Linked DNA regions of Macaca fascicularis. Each later gene encodes a partner of the first gene's protein in a complex. Links are inferred from orthologs where the notes say so. Each region holds a gene or a part of one and is shown in the gene's direction. Other genes may lie near its edges.

Region 1 (3,568 bases):
TTGACAGTTCTAAGTAGTAAAACAAATCAGAAGAAGGCAGACAGAGTAATAGATATTGGGAACTATTATTTTTCCTATTCTGATTTAAATTGCTTTATTATGGAAAATTTCAAATGTATACAAAAGCAATGAAGATAATGAACGCCTGTAAACTCTCATCCAGCGTCATCGGTGATTAAGATTTTGCCCCATTTCAAATGCATGCATTTTTATATTTTCTTACATAACTGCAATACCATATTGCACTAAATGGAACTAACAGTCACTTGGATATTTTGGAAAGGATGGCTCAGAATGGTATCTCCGAGGAGGTGATGTTCAGTCATGTAACTGATATTTACTGAGTACCTACTGCATTCCAGGCACCGCTTTAGGAGTTAAGGGTCCTTGAGTGAAGGATATTTGAGCTAAGGTTTAAATGACGTGAAGGGGCCAGGTGCGGTGGCTCATGCCAGTAATCCCAACACTTTGGGAGGCCAAGGCGTGCAGATCGCGTGAGCCCGAGTTCGACACCAGCCTGAGCAACATAGTGAGACCATGTCTCTAAAAAGAACAACAAATTAAAAAGAATAAATGGGCCGGATGCGGTGGCTCAGGTCTGTAATCCCAGCACTTTGGGAGGCCGAGGTGGGCGGATCACGAGGTCAGGAGTTCGAGACCAGCCTGGCCAACATGGTGAAACCCTGTCTCTACTAAAAACACACAAAAAATTAGCCAGGTGTGGTGGCACACGCCTGTAATCCCAGCTACTCGGGAGGCTGAGGCAGGAGAATCGCTTGAACCTGGGAGGCGGAGTTGCAGTGAGCCGAGATCGTGCCACTGCACTCCAGCCTGGGAGACAGAGTGAGATTCTGTCTCGAAAAAAAAAAAAAGAAAAAAAAAAGAAGTGAAGGAACAAGCTGGAGTGGGTATCTGTGGGACTAGCAAGATAGAGAGGGAACAGCAGATGCAGGAGCCCTGAGATAAGACTGTCTGAGGAACAGACAGGATGCCAGTGTGGCTGGAGTGGAGTAGGCGTGAGAGAGGGAGTTGAGATCAGCCAGATTTGCTAGCACCTTGTGGCTCACGGTGAGGACTTGGGCATTTGCCATGAGGTGGAGCCAGGTTCAGAGCAGAGGAGTGACATGACAATTTATAGCATGACCCTGGAGGGCAGAGATTTCTGTCTCTTTTTAAAAAATTGAAAAACAATTTTTTAGAGACAGGGTGTTGCTCTTTGTTGTCCAGACTGGCATGCAGTGGTGTGATCCCAGTTCACTGCAACCTCGAACTCCTGGACTCCAGCGATCCTCCCACCTCATCCTCCCAAAGTGCTGGGATTAAAGGCCTGAGCCACCATGCCTAGCCTATTTCTATCTATTTCATTTGTCCTCAGCCCCCAGTAGATCCCAGCCCAGCACACAGTAGTAGCTCAATAAACATTTGTTGCACAAACAGAGCAGATCAGTTTACATGGAGCCGTGTTATTTTGTATGTTCCAGGGTGTGGGCATGCCATGATTTATTTAGCCCCCCGGGGGATGGTCATCTGGCTTCTTACAGGCTTGTCTTAAGCATTGCATGAGATTATTACATCGCTCTTAGCACAGTGCTTGACTGGAGGAAGTGCTTAATCTGTGTTAGTGATTATCATGACTATTTGTGTTGTTATTAACATGGGGTGCAAGGGAGACCCAGATGGAGATAGGGCTGGGGGGGCAACTTAGGGTGACACACACCTGGGGAGGAGGGGCACACCGCTCCTGTGGTGGAGGGGCGCACCGCTCCTGTGGTGGAGGGGCGCACCGCTCCTGTGGTGGAGGGGCGCACCGCTCCTGTGGTGGAGGGGCGCACCGCTCCTGTGGTGGAGGGGCGCACCGCTCCTGTGGTGGTAGCCCCTCCCTACCCCTGAGCGTCTCTCCTGCCTGCAGCTCCACGGAGAAGAACTGCTGCGTGCGGCAGCTGTATATTGACTTCCGCAAGGACCTCGGCTGGAAGTGGATCCACGAGCCCAAGGGCTACCATGCCAACTTCTGCCTGGGACCCTGCCCCTACATTTGGAGCCTGGACACACAGTACAGCAAGGTACGTCTGGCCCACCGGGCTAGGAGGTGCGCTTGGGGGGAGCCAGGACAGAGGAAGAGGAGAGAGAAAGAGAAGTCAAGTCAGAGAGGTGAGTTGGCAGGATGGGGAGAAAGAGGGATGGGGTGGGAAAGGGAATGGATAAAGAGATGGGGAGAGAGGCAGGAAGCTAGAGAAGGGCTCTGAGCAGGGGGCAGAGGGAGATGAGATATGAAGGCCCACAGAACTGAAGTAACAGAGGGGTGGGGGTAAAGGGGAGAAGACAGGGAGATGGAAGGAAAAAGGCAGAGAGAAATGGAGAGACAAAATGAGAGAGGCAGATACAAACACAGAGTTAGAGCAAGGAGAGACAAAGACATACAACAAGGCAAGAGGCGACGACGAGGAAGGGTAGAGACTGAGAAAGAAAATCAGGCGGGCACGGCGGCTCACGCTGGTAATACCAGCACTCTGGGACACTGAAGCAGAAGGATCGCTTGGGCCCAGGAGTTCGAAAATAGCCCGGGCAGCTGAGTGAGATCCCATCTCTACCAAAAAAAGAAAAGAAAAGAAAAAAGCCAGGAGTGGTGGCGCTTGCCTGTGATTCGAGCTACTCCGGAGGCTGAGGCGGGAGGATGACTTAAGCTCAGGAGGTTGAGGCTGTAGCAAGCCTTGATCGCGCCCCTATACTCCAGCCTGGGTGGCAGAGCGAGACCCAGTCTCAACACAAAAAGAAAATCAGACAGATGGGGAGAGACAGAATAAGATAGGATGTTAGAAGATAAGAGAGACCGAATTGGAGATGGGAAGAGGGGGACAGGGATGCGGGGAGAGGCTGGCGCGGTAGGGGGTGGGGGATGGGGCAGTGGAGGGCCATCTTCCTCCCTCCACTATCCCTGAGCCCTGACCCCGCCCGCCGCCCGCAGGTCCTGGCCCTGTACAACCAGCATAACCCGGGCGCCTCGGCGGCGCCGTGCTGCGTGCCGCAGGCGCTGGAGCCGCTGCCCATCGTGTACTACGTGGGCCGCAAGCCCAAGGTGGAGCAGCTGTCCAACATGATCGTGCGCTCCTGCAAATGCAGCTGAGGCCCCGTCCCGCCCCGCCCCACCCCGGCAGGCCCGGCCCCGCCCCGCCCCGCCCCCGCTGCCTTGCCCTTGGGGGCTGTATTTAAGGACACCCGTGCCCCAAGCCCACCTGGGGCCCCATTAAAGATGGAGAGAGGACTGCGGATCTCTGTGTCATTGGGCGCCTGCCTGGGGTCTCCTTCCCTGACGTTCCCCTACTCCCACCCCATCTCTGTCCCTCTCTGCCTCCTCCTGCCTGTCTGCACTATTCCTTTGCCCAGCATCAGGGCACAGGGAACCAGTGGAGAACACTACTGTAGTTAGATCTATTTATTGAGCACCTTGGACACTGTTGAAGTGCCTTACATTAATGAACTCATTCAGTCACCTTAGCAACACTCTGAGATGCAGGGACTCTGATAACACCCATTCTAAAGGTGAGGAAACAAGCCCAGAGAGGTTAAG
Region 2 (3,568 bases), on another chromosome or scaffold:
GTCTTGGGCCCCTGAATGGAGAGGAAGGCTTGGGCTGTGGGCTTGGCAAACTTTGTGTCCTGGATCAAGTCTCAGGGGCTAGTGCCCCAGGGAGCCTTTGCCTATCCAGAGGCAGTATGCCTCTCCACTTGCCCGGGGGTAACACGTGGGGCACCGCAGAGTGCCCCCCACACTGTAACACTCAGTAAGTGGGTCCCTGATGCTCTTTGCTGTGCCGACCAGCTGAGGGCCCAGTGGTCAGAACTTGGCTGGCACCAATAGGAAAAGGAATTTGCAAATGAGAGTTTTGAGCCCCTGCCTGTCTGATCTTGGGCAGCCCACTCCCCTTAGCCTCAGTTTCGTTAGAGGTACAATAGGAGCAGGGTGAACAATGCCTGGGAATATTTAATGGGGTAGGGGCCTCTGCACTCAGCACGAAGCCTGACACAGCTGGGGCTCCACCACAGGTCATTTCGTTGTTTCTGCTTTAAATAAGGAATGCCCCAGGGGGTAAGGGCTGTGAGGAGGAGGCTATGTTTAGTGGCCCCTGCAGGCAGAGAGGTTGTGAGGGAGGAAGGGCAAGGATGGGCAAGGCAGCCAGGCAGGTTTCAGGTTCTCACAAGTGCCCAACTGCCGGGGCATCCCTGGGCCTCCTGAGGCCCCTGTGAACCTGCCTCCCTTGGAGGCTACATGGAGTCATTGTGCTGCATGGAGTAGGAAGAGCCACACAGAGGCCTGAGGCTGGGCAGGTCTCTTCCTCCGCCTACTCACCTTGGGGCTCTCAGGAGGAAGCGCAGAGCTGGACCAGGAGAGGAACACGCCAGCTTGTGTTCCTTCCCTACCAGCTCAGCCACTGGCTCACTGTGAATTCATGCAAGTCACTGTCATCTTCAGGCCTCAGTGTCCCCATCTGGGAAGTGGGTGAGCTGAACTCTTCTTGCTCTAGCCGTCTTTGACTATATTCTGAAAATATCAATCATCCATTTTCTTTCCTCCCAGAGAAGTGATTGATTCAGTGCCTCAGACCTTTACTAAACCGATGATGCCTGGGACTCATTCATTAGGAAAAATTGACTTGCTAGTCAGGTCCAAGGCATCCACATCCACCAAACCAGTCCCTGTTTGCTCTGAGCTCGCTGTCTAGCAGGTCCCCACACAAACAGCCACAATTCAGCGGGGCAAAGCTCTGAGAGGAAGCACAGTCAGGGAGGGCTCCCTGGTAGAGGAGGCCCTGAAGCTCAACATGAAGAGTTCACATGTGGATCTGGTTGGGGATGGCATATCCAGCTCAGGGAGGAGGCTCAGCAGTGGGTGTGGGAGGGCATGATGGGCAGTGGTCAGCTGTGGTCACTGCATGTGGGCTGGGGTGGGAGGTGGGGGACAGGTTGGCAGGGGCTACAAACAGCCTCGAAGGCCCTGCTGAGGGTCCTGGACTTCACCATGGAGAAGTTTAAGCCAAGCTGCCTCATAGTCAGAGTGGAGCTTTTGAGCCGTTGTCAGGCATTTAGCAGTGAATGGGCCAGAATGGGTCAGTGGAGACAGAAGCTGGGGGCAGTGAGCCTGAGCCCGGTGATTGTGGAAGTCAGACTCTTTTCTGGGAAAGGCTGGGGTTCCTGGAGGCCTGGAAGAGAAAAGGGAGACCTGCATTTGCACAGAAAGAATTTTGGTCCCAGAAGGTACATCTGCGGAAGAACAAGATTGAGGCCTTTGGTTGTTAAAAAACCTGGGTTCAAATCCCAGCTCTGCTCCTCACCAGCTGGGCAATCCTGGCACCTCCCTTCCCTTCCCTGAGCCTAGATTTCTGTAAATGGGGTGATCGTATCAGATGCACAGGCTGTGGTAAAGACCAATGGGACCACAGGCCTGAAAGTATTAACGAAGATGTCAAATGTTGAGTGGCTGCTGGGGAAGGACGTAAGAAAACAGTGGTTATGTGACTTCCTGGAGGTCGCACAGCACAAACATGGTCTCGTCACCAAAGGCTGTGGATTTGGCTCTGGCCATCTTTTCCCTGCCCCTTCCCACCTCCAGGGGCCTAGTCCCCTGACCCAGCCTGGGAAGAAAGCCACCCCCTAGCAGGTAACAGCAACAGAGAGGAGGCCACCCCTGGGAAGCATCCACAAGGAAGGCAGGCCCCGGGACCCAGGTTCTGCCCACGACACGAGAGCCTGAATGAGGTCTGAGGCCAAGATAAAAACTGATGACAGAGCACAAATTACAGTTTTCCCTTTTGGAAACATTTCTCCCAAAGTGGAGAAATTCCCATCCTGCCCCTGGAAATTTAACTCTCTGCATAGAACCAGGAGCCTTGGGTCCCTGCTGTGCCCTGCTGCTCACTGGCTTGGGGTCACTCTGTGGGATATATGGCTGTTTCCTGTAAGAGGGGTAATAATAAGTACAGGGTTTCTTTGTTAGTTTATTTGTCCTTCTATCTGTCTGTCATCTCTCCATCTGTCCACCCGTAGAAACTTCATCGAGTTCCTTCCTTAATGCCCAGCACTGTGCTGGGTGCCGCAGATGGGGCAGGGAGCCGGATGGGTCATCCCGGCATGGGGTGATCAGGCTGCGGTGAGGGAAAGTTGAGCATTCTGGGAGTCCATGGGAGAAGGGTTCCCAGCCAGGCCGGGTTCCTGGATAAACGTGTCTGGTTTTATCCCCTACTGCGCCCACTTATGCCAGCTGTCTCCCCACCCTGCCCCTCCCCAGGTGGACAAGAAGGTCTCGTGCCAGGGTCTGGGCCTGCTCCAGGTCCCCTTGGTGCTCCCGCCGGACACTGAGACCCTTGATCTCTCTGGGAACCAGCTGCGGAGTATCCTGGCCTCACCCCTGGGCTTCTACACGGCACTTCGTCACCTGGACCTGAGCACCAATGAGATCAACTTCCTCCAGCCAGGAGCCTTCCAGGCCCTGACCCACCTGGAGCACCTCAGCCTGGCTCACAACCGGCTGGCGATGGCCACTGCGCTGAGTGCCGGTGGTCTGGGCCCCCTGCCACGTGTGACCTCCCTGGACCTGTCTGGGAACAGCCTGTACAGCGGCCTGCTGGAGCGGCTGCTAGGGGAGGCACCCAGCCTGCATACCCTCTCACTGGCGGAGAACAGTCTGACTCGCCTCACCCGCCACACCTTCCGGGACATGCCTGCGCTGGAGCAGCTTGACCTGCATAGCAACGTGCTGATGGACATCGAGGATGGCGCCTTCGAGGGCCTGCCCCACCTGACCCATCTCAACCTTTCCAGGAATTCCCTCACCTGCATCTCCGACTTCAGCCTTCAGCAGCTGCGGGTGCTGGACCTGAGCTGCAACAGCATTGAGGCCTTTCAGACGGCCTCCCAGCCCCAGGCCGAGTTCCAGCTCACCTGGCTTGACCTGCGGGAGAACAAACTGCTCCATTTCCCCGACCTGGCCGCGCTCCCGAGACTCATCTACCTGAACTTGTCCAACAACCTCATCCGGCTCCCCACAGGGCCACCCCAGGACAGCAAGGGCATCCACGCGCCTTCCGAGGGCTGGTCAGCCCTGCCCCTCTCAACCCCCAATGGGAATGTCAGTGCCCGCCCCCTTTCCCAGCTCTTGAATCTGGATTTGA
Region 3 (3,568 bases), on another chromosome or scaffold:
ATTAATTATGTAATGTCATGCTATAGAAAAAAAGAAAAAGTTATTGAACGTGATAGAAGATTCTAAAAATGAATAAAAGAGAATCCTGTCTTCTCTTTAGTTAGAATATGTTTTTCTATCTTAGGAATTTTAGAGCTGTATATTTTAAATTAATTATTGCCAGTTTCTAATTCTGTGGTTTCTTCTATGATCACTCCATGGATTTTGTTCAAAAGATATCATATTTTGCAAAATACACTTTGGCTTTTCATTAAAACTACAGAGAAAACTTTTTACTAGCAAATATAGCACTAAGTTACTTTATGAAAAAACGGCTACTGTCTTAGAAATAGTTATTTCCTTCAAAATCTCATTTTGGAAGAGTGGTTTTTCTTACCTGTTACACTGTTTTTTTCTTTTCATTTGCTTACATGCCATCTCTCCTTCACTTTCAATTGAGTGGTTTAAATAGTTTAACTCTCAGGAATAGTCATATGACCTCTTAGTTATGGAAACCCCAGAGTATGATCTACTGTTAGAGATGGCAGTGGCCACATTAACTTACGTATCTGTTAAGCCTCAGCATTCTCAAAGACGAAAGCATTTTAAGTATAACACCAACTGTATTGATTTTAATATTACGGAACAAATTCTAGTGTTTCATGTATATATAAGCCAAATTTAGATACTTTATATTATTGTATCATTGACACACATTCCACCCAAAAAGCTCAAATTAATTTTAAATTGCAATGGATCTCAATCCAACATGAAATAAATATACCTTATTTACCAAAGTACCTAAAGATGGTAAGGTGAGCCAATAAATATAAATAGACATATTAAATCAATTGTGTTGTGCAAAAAGAAGAAATAGAGAAAAAGAAAACATTTGACCAGTTCCTGCCAGCCCAGCTCCTTAGTTCTGGGCTATCTTCTTCCACTGAGACAAGCAGATGACCTGTGCTGAGGTCTTAAGATTTGAGAATGAGAGTCCTAAACAATTTTATTTTGAGTAACATCACAGAAAGCCACATGTTTTCCTCCACTGAAACCCTGTATAAACTAAAATGTAACTCTGAAACTTTACTTGGGCTCCTAGAAAATAGGAACAAAATTAAAATTGTTCATTTGAACATCTTACCTCAGGGTTTTTAAAATCTTTTATTTATTTATTTATTTATGAGACGGAGTCTCGCTGTGTCACTGAGGCTGTAGTGCAGTGGTGCGATCTCGGCTCACTGCAATCCAAGTGATTCTCCTGCCTCAGCCTCCCTCCCAAGTAGCTAGGACTACAGGTTCATGCCACCACACTCAGCTAATTTTTGAATTTTTAGCAGAGATGGGTTTTCACCATGTTGGCCAGGCCGATCTCGAACTTCTGACCTCGGGTGATCCAACTCCCTCGACCTCCCAAAGTGCTGGGATTACAGGTGTGAGCCACCGCGCCAGGTCTCATCTCAGGGTTTTAAACCAGTAGAGCAGAAGCCCTTTACTTTGGTTTATGTGATCTATCTCTAGTGTCAAATATTCAATACCCCACATTTTAATGGCTGAATTTAGAAAATGGTCTATTCTTTCTTATGTTTGCTAAGAAATTAATCATCAGTGATGGGGTAGACGCTTCAAAAAGGCTTGCACTCAAGTCTATTTAATGGTGCAATATAGGGATTAGCAGTCATTATATTCTTTAACTCTCAAGTTCATTAGTTGGAGAATAAATGACATTAAAAAGAGATGTTGCATGTATATGAAAGTGATTACATGTGTTTATTTTACAAATATTTTTAATTTCTCTAAGATGGTTTCTTATCAATTCAGTTATTAACAGATATAATATTAGTAATAAAAATAATTAAGGTATGTAAATATATTTCCTTTTTCCTCCTAAATTTAGGTTCTTTTCAATGTAACAGTTACAATGAAAAAATGTGATGTCACAGGAGGAAAAAACTATGCAATAATCAAACCTATTGGTTTTAATGAAACCGCTAAAATTCATATACACAGAAACTGCAGCTGTCAGTGTGAGGACAACAGAGGACCTAAAGGAAAGTGTGTAGATGAAACTTTTCTAGATTCCAAGTGCTTCCAGTGTGATGAGAATAAATGTCATTTTGATGAAGATCAGTTTTCTTCTGAGAGTTGCAAGTCACACAAGGATCAACCTGTTTGCAGTGGTCGAGGAGTTTGTGTTTGTGGGAAATGTTCATGTCACAAAATTAAGCTTGGAAAAGTGTATGGAAAATATTGTGAAAAGGATGACTTTTCTTGTCCATATCACCATGGAAATCTGTGTGCTGGTGAGTATAAATATACACGGGCAGCTTTTACTTGTCACTATTACACCAGCATAGATGTTAAAGTATCTTTAAATCACATCTTTACAAATTAGCAAAATTGAATCTGAATTTGTTATTCAAAGTTTCATCGTCCATGAAATTAGGGCATGGCAACAGATTTATAGTATGTGATTTTGATATTTATATTTTAACCTATTTTATACAGGAAATGCTTCAAAATAAAAACCTAAAATTAATTGTTATGCTCATGCTTTCCTTGATCTTGGAAAGAAATATACCAGAAAAGGAAATGCTGATGATATCTGACACATTTTCTAGAAGAATCAGAGTATTCTTCTAGAAGGATCTGATTCATTCTGGTAAATGGTCACTCCCTCCAACTTGCACATAGGATTTTATTTCTGTCAGGATGATGGGGAGTGAGGTATAAGAGTATATTTTTCATTCATATGAAAATCTTTAATGCATTATTATAAATGGTATTCTAAGCTGGCAGGAATTTAAGCCTCTCCAGTTTATTTTGGGCCACCACCAGCAACGAAACTGCCAAAGGACAGCATTCTTCAAGAAAATACTTCCTTACTAAGTAATCTAAAAGATTCGTCCTTGAGGCCACACACAGACCAAATTTTAAACATAAAATAAATTAAAATAAAAATACCAAGATTACTCTTGGGCTATTCAATTTACTGCCACCTACAGGTTAGATTCCAGAAAATCTAATCAACATTTGCAAACTAAAACAAAATACCATTTTTAAGTGAATTAAATAAATCACCTGTCATCTGCGTTCTGTGATAATTTTCCTGTGACAATATGCTAAATTTACTCGTTGAGAAAAACATCTTTTTAGTATCTGTATTTTAGTAAATAAATATTTGTTAAATTATTGATGAATGGAAACATCATCATAAGCATATGGGATGCAACAAACCTATAAAAAATAAATGGTGCAATCTAGTCGAAGCTGAAAATTTGGCCTGTATCACCTAAATGTGCAGTGGAAATTGTCTTTTTTTCTATAACATACATAGAATATTTTAATATATATACAAACATGTATTCAACTGTAACTGACATCATGGGTAGGATGGATTATAGATGACTTTAGAATGAACCAGCAGTTGTCTACCATATTTTACAGGGAGGAAAAATATTATTTTACAGTGAAGAGAAAGAATTTTCTGAAGTCACGTCCCACAACTGTCAATCTCTCAAGAGAGTTTCAAATACATTTGAGTATTTGTCCCAGTCCCTGCAGTAAAATATCTAGTGTACTAGCTTTT

What was found. The genes of interacting proteins can lie anywhere in the genome.
Region 2: the proteins of TGFB1 (region 1) and LRRC32 are in contact, whole or in part, in a cryo-EM structure (PDB 8VSC), measured with the Homo sapiens proteins. The link is inferred for Macaca fascicularis from reciprocal best matches to the Homo sapiens genes TGFB1 and LRRC32. Residues at the interface, in NP_000651.3 of Homo sapiens: Leu30, Ser31, Thr32, Cys33, Lys34, Pro325, Pro327, Tyr328, Ile329, Trp330, Ser331, Leu332, Thr334, Gln335, Tyr336, Val339, Leu342, His346, Ala353, Pro354; in NP_001122394.1 of Homo sapiens: Ser135, Tyr137, Glu158, Ser160, Thr162, Val184, Met186, Asp187, Ile188, Glu189, Asp190, Phe193, Leu202, Leu204, Arg206, Asn207, Ser208, Leu209, Thr210, Cys211, Ile212, Ser213, Asp214, Phe215, Ser216, Leu217, Leu223, Leu225, Cys227, Ser229.
Region 3: the proteins of TGFB1 (region 1) and ITGB8 are in contact, whole or in part, in a cryo-EM structure (PDB 7Y1T), measured with the Homo sapiens proteins. The link is inferred for Macaca fascicularis from reciprocal best matches to the Homo sapiens genes TGFB1 and ITGB8. Residues at the interface, in NP_000651.3 of Homo sapiens: His117, Thr241, Arg243, Arg244, Gly245, Asp246, Leu247, Thr249, Ile250, His251, Gly252, Met253; in NP_002205.1 of Homo sapiens: Ser156, Ala157, Ser158, His160, Asn161, Asp213, Tyr214, Asn215, Leu216, Gly248, Asn249, Ile250, Asp251, Thr252, Glu254, Gln286.

What each region holds. Positions count from the first base shown.
Region 1 is NC_088393.1:48,471,351-48,474,918, reverse strand, and holds the end of TGFB1 (transforming growth factor beta-1 proprotein), read left to right. Parts: intron 1-1,909; coding exon 1,910-2,063; intron 2,064-2,965; coding exon 2,966-3,124; 3' UTR 3,125-3,262; downstream 3,263-3,568. UniProt on the Homo sapiens protein: Transforming growth factor beta-1 proprotein: Precursor of the Latency-associated peptide (LAP) and Transforming growth factor beta-1 (TGF-beta-1) chains, which constitute the regulatory and active subunit of TGF-beta-1, respectively.
Region 2 is NC_088388.1:75,536,823-75,540,390, reverse strand, and holds part of LRRC32 (transforming growth factor beta activator LRRC32), read left to right. Parts: intron 1-2,685; coding exon 2,686-3,568.
Region 3 is NC_088377.1:109,813,037-109,816,604, reverse strand, and holds part of ITGB8 (integrin beta-8), read left to right. Parts: intron 1-1,876; coding exon 1,877-2,282; intron 2,283-3,568. UniProt on the Homo sapiens protein: Integrin alpha-V:beta-8 (ITGAV:ITGB8) is a receptor for fibronectin. It recognizes the sequence R-G-D in its ligands.